Linked DNA regions of Arabidopsis thaliana. The protein of the gene in region 2 interacts with the protein of the main gene of each other region in a pairwise test. Each region holds a gene or a part of one and is shown on either strand. Other genes may lie near its edges.

Region 1 (4,605 bases), on a different chromosome or scaffold from region 2:
CTTCTTTCAATATCCATATCTACAGTACTTATATATGATAAAAAAAAATAAAACTAACTTATAGATTTTAAATAGATTTGTAATTATCCAATAGTTAAAGAATATATACAAAAGAATCAATAGGTGACATGATCATAACAGTAAAATCTCTTTAACAACTTTGACCTCCGATTATTTAGCTTCCTGTTATTGCTTTTATAGTTATGTAGGTTTATCATGTCTGTTTTAGAAATCATGAAGATTATTTAGTTGACTTGTTGTTACCAAAGATTCATGTTTATGCTCGAAATAATAGAACAACTATTTCATGAAAATTCTCAAAAATATGAACTATCATAACAAAAATCCCTAAGAAACTGAGAAATATTTTTCAGTTTCAAAACACTATTTTTATACGTATAACACTAAAAAAGGCGAGCTATATGGTAAATCTAATTTATTTTTATTCTCTTAAACAGCTTACTATTTCGTAAGATTTGAACCTTTTATTACATCTTATTTCATTTTATATTAAGGAGTTTTCTCTTTATTTTTGTATTTACACACTAAACAGTCTACATCTAGTTTTCCTAGATCATTCATCGCTGCCACAAAATCTCTGCACTCTATTTCTGAAACTAGGGGTCTACGCGAAAATATTTTGATAAGATTGTTTGTTATAAATGGATACAATTAAATGTGACCAATTAGATTATACAATGGAAATAGAAGAAAAAGACAAGAGAAATATTATCCTTTGGTTACTCTTCTTTTCTATGTTTATAACTAAAATTTTTGTATCCTCTCATTTTTCTTGATAGGTGAAAATTAATACAAACCCAAAGTAAAATTCAACTTAGCTGAAAAAGTATTATTATATTGTTCAAAACACCAGTCGAAGCATTAGACTTCCTGTCTACAAACATAGTTACATGAAATACACACCACTATAGAGTAGTAAATAAAATCTTATTAATTATTAATCAAGAGGTAACGGTTAAAATAAATTTATTAAAATATTTATGTCATTCACTATATATTTACATTAATGTGTGTGTGTGTTTATGCGTGGAGACTTAACGTTACACACATTTTTTTTTTTTTTCTTACACACATTAAATTTTTTTTTTTAGTGGTCAACTGGAAAAATGTGTTTTGTATTTAGTAAATCTCTTTCCTTCTTTTGAAAATACTTTTGAAGAATAGAGTATGTATTTTCCAATAGTGAAGTAATTCAAAATTATCAAAACCATTAAGTTTATGGTGAAAAATATTTTGTAACCCAAAAAAATGAATTGTACTGAAATTTAAATTTAGATTAGATGGTTTGGTTCGAGCTTGTGATCTTTAATTTCATATGATTATTAGTTTTAAGTTAGTGAACGCTATTTTTTTTGTTCGTCTGGTTAGAACTATGTATGTGTAAATAAATGTTTATTAATTTAATTAAGTTCTTGGCCCAAAACCTATGAGAATTAATTAGTTGATAAATTACATGTGTCAAATAGGTTATAGTTAGTTTCTAAAATATTTAGTCAAAGATTTTTTTTTTGACATCTATCAAATAGGTTATAAATTATATGTGTTTTAATTTTATTGGTTAAAGTAAATGATCATATAAGTTATATTATTGAATAAATATATACTAAATATTACTAGTGTTGGTTAAAAACTATGGAAAATTTTATTGTTATAGAAATATTTTTGATGGATAAACATTGTTTATCTATTAAATATATAAAAGGGAAAGTTTCTTCTATATAAACTCATGATGATAAGATTTTGAGCAAAATTACCAATTTTGTTTTCTTCTTTTGTCAATACAAAGGCTTATAACATTAATTGCTTTTATTTTGTGGTAAAGAGATATCAACAGATTTTAGATAATAAATTCATATTTCTTAATGAAAACATTGTTATTGAGGGAAATTTTTTTATCATTGTATAGAAGATTCCCTCTCTAGAAGAATATTCATATGAAATGAGATGCTGGATACCCAACTAAATATTTGTATTTTTTAGAAATTTTGTTAGTAACGACTGAATGTAGTGCATCACATTAATTGAAAATGAATTTATTTGACTATCAATATAATAATAAATGTGTTAGTATCTTTGATTTCGATAAAATCCACAATATATACATGAGTGATCAGTGTGTATTGTGTTGTTGGAGACTGAACCATCAACGCTTTTTCGACACTTCTTCTTCTTCCTCCTTTCTCTCTTCATGCAAAATCACAGTTACAAGAAATAAACAAAAGATTATAAATCAAAACATAAAGAGACAAAAATGAGTGATGGTCGAGTTAACGCAGATCCTCAACAAGAAGAGAACATGGTTAAACCACCGGTTAAGAGATCTCTCACTCTCCTCATCGTGACTTACTTTTTTCTCTTCTTCGGCTCTATCGCTTCGAGCCTTCTCGCGAAGTACTATTTCGTCTACGGTGGCTCGAGCCGGTGGGTCTCCACGTGGGTTCAATCTGCTGGCTTCCCTCTCCTCCTCATCCTAATCTACTTCCCTCACTACGTTCTCAAAACCACCACTCGCCGTCCTTTCACGCGCTTCACGCTCCGCCATCTCATCTTCTCCGTGTTGATCGGGCTTGTTCTCGGTTTCAACAACTTCCTCTTCTCATGGGGAACCTCGTACCTTCCGGTGTCCACGTCATCGCTTCTCCTCTCGACACAACTCGTCTTCACTCTCATTTTGTCTAGGATCATAGTGAAACAGAAGATCACTTTCTCAAACCTCAACTGCGTTGTCCTGTTGACGTTAAGCTCTGTTTTGTTGGCTCTTGATTCGAGTAAAGATAAACCGTCCGGTTTAACCAAAACCAAGTATTTCATCGGGTATGTATCCACGATCGGAGCCGGTTTACTCTTCGCTCTTTACCTCCCCGTGACGGAGAAGCTATACCGTACCGTTTATTGTTACGCGATGGTCATGGAGGTGCAACTGGTGATGGAATTCGCAGCGACGGTTTTCGCGACAATCGGTATGGCTTGCGAAGGCGGGTTTAAGGAAATGGTTAAGGAAGCGAACCATGTTTTCACCAAAGGACCAACATTTTATTGGACGTTTGCGATACTAGCAAATGTGGTGACGTGGCAGCTCTCTTTCGCAGCCACGTCAGGGATGGTTTACTTGACGTCAGGTATCACCGGAGGTATCTGCATGACGGCGTTGCTCGCGATGAATGTGATAGGAGGTGTGGTGGCTTACGGTGACGTGTTTGGTGGAGTGAAGATTGTGTCGACGGTGCTATGTATTTGGGGATTCTCATCTTACACATACGGGATGTATATGAAGATGAAGAAGGAGGAGAAGGAGAAGGGAGAATATTCCGGCGTAAAGACGACGGAAGACAGCGGAGAGATGGAGGTGGAAATGGGAAATGTTAAAGATGACGTGGCGGCGGCGGATGATAGGGCTTGAAGATATCTGTGTGATTGAGACGGCCGTTATGATTATTATTAGGAAGGAAGCCAACAAAAAAAAAAAAAGTAGTAGTATCTTTTTGTGTTCTTTCTTTTTCTCACCTTATGTTTTTTTAGTAATGCATTTGCTTTTGTTTTTCTTGTTTTTTTAGGTTGTTTTGTTTTTCCTTTTCTGGTTATTTTTATGAATTATCCTCTTATCATGGCCACAACTAATGATGTTGTACACTTTTTAAGTGTGGATTTTCCAATGTCGGTTGATAAGTATGTATTTTTCTGTTATCTATGGGCTTTTGATTGGTTTTATTAGATATATGGTCTGTTATTTTCCCAGTCTCCAGTGACATTGATACGAAAATTATACACCCTGTGATGACAAACAACAACACCGACGATATATTGAGAATAAGGCGACGATAAGTAGTGTTGATTGTATCGGATGCTGAAAATAAGAGTAACTGTGACAATTTATTTTTTTATCCGGTGTGACTCTTGGAGTGGTTTCGGTTTTTTTATTTTTATTTTTATTGTTGATAAGAATAGGCCAAAAAAAAAAAAAAAGTAGGCCCAAAGGAATAGGTCCAGTGTAGTTATTTAGTGAACAAAAAAAATATTAACTTTCACCTATACAAAAATGTGAATTTTTTTTTTTGTTGGAAACACTTTTTACAAAAAGATGTGATATTATTTGATCTAAGAATATCCAGAATGTGGTTTACAAATGTATACCACCTGTTTAATGTTTTGACCATGTTAATTTCCTATAGCTTGCTTCAAATCCAACTCTCGATTATACTTACAGTTCAGAGAACAACAAAACTAATCCTCTGTTTTACAACACATGACTACATTGTTAGTGTTGGTGGCAATGCCAAAGCTCTAGGAGATAATTTTTTCAATTTTTTGTTCTTGGTAATGAAAGTTTTTGAGAGAGCATGTATTTATTTCATTTATAAGGATTTAATAGATTGTGTTTTATTAGTGTTTGACTTTTTATCATAATATAAAATTTGACGGGCGCTGGTAGCCTGGTACATGTCCTTGGCGCCGTCGAGTTGAGTTGCACTCTGGTAGAATCTTATTCCAAATTACTTCATGACATTCTCCAAGACAGAATGATCTCCTCTCTTTAAGAAATTTACGATTATACTGAAGTATGATGAATTTTACAAATGATATACT
Region 2 (4,031 bases):
TAAGCTAGATCGTGTGTAGAAGCTTGATATGAGTAACGAATGATCTTACGTATGTATTTATAGGACGGGTGATCAGAAATGATAGGTCATTAGGTCGAGTTGTTTCCTGAACTTTCTTTTAGTTATTTACTTATTTAGCCTTTCGATATTGATAAGTTAATATAGTTCACACAAAAATAACCAACGGTCAAAAACATTACACGTGAATCATATAGTATTTGAAAGGTTCACTATCTAGGTTGAAGGATCAGCGTTCAAATTTTCTTACTACAATTTTTATTCTGATTTGTTATTAAACTGTTTCAACTGGATTAATTAACACACACCAAATTCATTATAAGTCTCACATAGTATCATATTCTTTATTGTTATACGAGTAGTAATCAACAAAGTCATTAAGTACATCACCTCGATAAAAAGCCAATTCTATGGAAAAATTAATATGGACAGTTTATCTACATTTCATATTCTTATGAACTAAAACATGCTAATTATTTTATTTGGATCTCCAAGATTTTTGGACATCCAAATTATTTCTAAACTGACTGACTCGTGTATTTGGCCGGTCCAAAACAAAACACGTAGGCTCCAAAAGTGTAAAAGAGGAAGCTGCGATATTTAAAGGAACCACGTTGCTTAGATTGTCCCCACGCATAACATAAATTTAACTTTTGAAGGACAAGGAACAAAGTCCATGGCGTGGCCTACTCATTCGCCACAGTTTCTTCTCACTTTTTTGGCCAAGTGCCAAGTGGGTTAGGTTAAAAACGTAAAAAAGATTCTCTCCATCTCCCAAAAACATGTGGCTCAAAAACAAAGCATAACATTGCTTTCGTTTCTAGAATACGTTCATTTCATTACACATCTCTCTTTATGCTTTTGGAACTTAGCTGAGTTTGGATTCAGACAGGCCCATACTTAGTCTGGCCGAGTCCGTGACTGTTCTCTCTTTGTCCCTTTCTACGTGGCCGATCCTAACTCCGTCAGTTTTTTGGTAATATTTACGGTCGTTTCAAAATGTCAATAACTTTACAATTAAATGGAGATAAAGATTATTTACTGTTAAGAAAAAAAAGACTATTTACTCTTACAGTCATACGTATCTCATAACGGGCCGTATAGGGCTCATTAGGCCCATCAACTCTAGCTTCCCTAACCAAATCATGTCTTTCGCTCATATATGTTCGTTTCTAATGTAGTGTTGACCAAATCTGCAAATTGACATTCTGATCATTTTAGTCTTTGATAACATATGAAAGAAGAATTGTCATTCTCAACCTAAGGAAATTTGGAAGGATTCACTTTTACATGGTAACACAAAGAAGAAAACATATGATTCTTTAGATTTTGTTCCCGGAAATAATGATTTCTTAGAATATAAGTACTTTGACATTATTGACCAAATAAATAAAAACTACCTTGACATTATTATGCATACATAACAGTCAATTCTTTTTAACACATATCAATGGCGTAGATAAAAAAAACTTCCAAAACGTACATTAAGTCATTAACCAATATATATACAAAAATCAAAAATTTTTTGTAAAAACAAACATCACTGAAACACTTTTTGAAGTAAAATTTTATCAATTTAATCATAATTTAGATCGTATTTTACTTACATTAAAATTAGTAATATTTTTCTCTAACTCTCTTTAATGACCAAAAGCCGTTGACCAATAAAATCTCCCCGTGTCGTCATAAACCGGTTTTAATTTCCGGTTTGGTAATCTAAGTCGCAATAAAATCCTCTTTGTCTTCTTCTTCTTCCTCTACTCGGCGAATTCTCTCGAGAAAACAAACTGAATTTTTTTGATCGAAGAAGATCTAAAAAAAAAGATGGAGAGACGACAAGCGAAGATCCATGTCTTTGTATTGATAGGTCTAATTCTATTGAATTCAATCAATCAAATCTCATCTCTCTCTGTAACGGTGAACGACGAAGAATGTGTCCAAGAGTACGTCCTTTACGAAGGCGACACTGTTTCCGGTAACTTCGTCGTCGTCGATCATGATATCTTCTGGGGATCCGATCATCCTGGTTTGGATTTCACGGTTAGCGATCTTTCAATTTACCTTTTTACCCCAAAAGTTCTTAACTTTGATACGTTTCCTTCGATAATCCCAATGTTTGATTTATCGTGAAATTGGTGTTTCTCATGCTTAATTTTGACCTGATCTGATCTTTGTAAGGATGTGACAATTTAGGGTTTGGTTGGGATTGTGGAAATTTGCTATCTTTGATTGGATTGGATTGGATTTTGGTTAGGGTTAATGTGTTGATTGATTCATTGGATTGTGTTTGTGTAGGTGACGTCACCAGCTGGGAACATTGTACAGACTTTAAAGGGAACATCTGGAGATAAGTTTGAGTTTAAGGCTCCAAAAAGTGGAATGTACAAATTTTGTTTCCACAATCCTTATTCTACTCCTGAAACTGTCTCCTTTTATATTCATGTTGGTCATATTCCTAATGAGCATGACTTAGCCAAAGATGGTTCGTTTCCATTCCCCTTATGTATGATCATCTTCATTGATGCAATCTGTATTTTGTGCATTGAGCTTGAGCTGTTTTGTGATGTTATGTTCTTTCTGTTTTGTTGTTTGGTTCTTAGAACATTTGGACCCGGTAAATGTTAAGATAGCTGAGTTGAGAGAGGCTTTGGAATCTGTTGTTGCTGAGCAGAAGTATTTGAAAGCTCGTGACACTCGTCACCGTCATAGTAAGTTTTCTCCATTCGTCTTACAAGCCTCATTCCCTTGATTACCCGAGTAACTTGCTTAGATGCAGTATGACAATATAATGAGTTTTTAGACAGACATCATTGAATGGCGAAAGATGCAACCTTTATACGATCTAACATTGTTCTGTGTTTGGTGCAGCGAATGAGAGCACGAGAAAGCGAGTGATATTCTACACAGTAGGAGAGTACATTTTCCTTGCCGCAGCTAGTGGACTTCAAGTTCTCTACATCCGCAAGCTCTTCAGCAAGTCGGTAGCATACAACAGAGTTTGAACATAGCAAAACCTCAGAGCGAGGTCTTGTGTCCAGTTTATGTTTGAATCGGTGATCAAAACACAATCCTAAACAGTGTTAGTTAATTTAAAAGCTTCAATAGCGAAAGACTTACTTTTTGTTTTTGGTTTCTACACTTTTATAAGTTTACTAATGCAGAACTTGATGAAGCTTTTTTCTGAATTCATTGATTAGTGAATATCATTATCTTGTTATTATCGTAGACAAATTGATATGAGATCCTTAATTATGATACCAAATAAAAACCACCACTAAAGTGAAAGAAAAAACAAAGTCAAAGTAATATACAATATCATACAAATATCTGCAAAACGTGGAGGAAAAGAAAAATCGAATAATTCGATGATTCTCTCTATCAAAGAAACGAAAAAGTCGTATTGAAGTTTTGCCATTTGTTTATAAAAGAAGTGGCTGTTCAACGATTCTAAAGTCATTTACTTTACCATTTTGATCTGTTGCTCTGTTTCACTGTGCGTGATCGGGAAGAAGAAGAAAATGTTGGCGATTTTCGACAAGAACGTGGCGAAAACACCCGAGGCTCTTCAGGGTCAAGAGGGTGGATCGGTTTGTGCTCTTAAAGATAGGTTCTTGCCGAACCATTTCTCCTCTGTTTATCCTGGTGCTGTCACCATCAATCTCGGATCTTCTGGTTTCATTGCTTGCTCTCTCGAGAAACAGAACCCTCTTCTTCCCAGGTTTTGTACAATAGTTTATTCCTCAGGATGATGTTTTCTTCTTCTGTCCTAGATATGAGAGATTTGCTATCTTAATGTTTCACTGGCTTGCAAAGATAGTTTAGGATATGTTTCACTGAATCTGAGAGATTGAGATATCGATCTGTTGTTATGTTTTGATGGAATAATGAAGTTATATATCTACTTTGTTGTGATGTTTAAAATGTGTTGAAACTGGAAGGATGTGATTAGATAAGTGGTGGTGATTTTTTCAAAACAATTTTGTGTGTGTGACAGATTGTTTGCTGTGGTGGAT

What was found. Proteins that work in one complex are often made in the same cells at the same time.
Region 1: the proteins of AT3G22845 (region 2) and PUP4 interact in a protein complementation assay, tested with the Arabidopsis thaliana proteins (one large-scale study listed by BioGRID).

What each region holds. Positions count from the first base shown.
Region 1 is NC_003070.9:10,972,309-10,976,913, forward strand, and holds PUP4 (purine permease 4), read left to right. Parts: upstream 1-2,136; 5' UTR 2,137-2,272; coding exon 2,273-3,421; 3' UTR 3,422-3,489; exon of another isoform or gene 3,490-3,755; intron 3,756-3,966; 3' UTR 3,967-3,990; downstream 3,991-4,605.
Region 2 is NC_003074.8:8,085,531-8,089,561, forward strand, and holds AT3G22845 (emp24/gp25L/p24 family/GOLD family protein), read left to right. Parts: upstream 1-1,707; 5' UTR 1,708-1,842; coding exon 1,843-2,058; intron 2,059-2,313; coding exon 2,314-2,500; coding exon of another isoform or gene 2,501-2,618; coding exon 2,619-2,726; intron 2,727-2,886; coding exon 2,887-3,020; 3' UTR 3,021-3,294; downstream 3,295-4,031. Other genes in the region: AT3G22850 (aluminum induced protein with YGL and LRDR motifs), read left to right, coding at 3,537-3,736, 4,013-4,031. UniProt on the Arabidopsis thaliana protein: Involved in vesicular protein trafficking. Mainly functions in the early secretory pathway but also in post-Golgi membranes.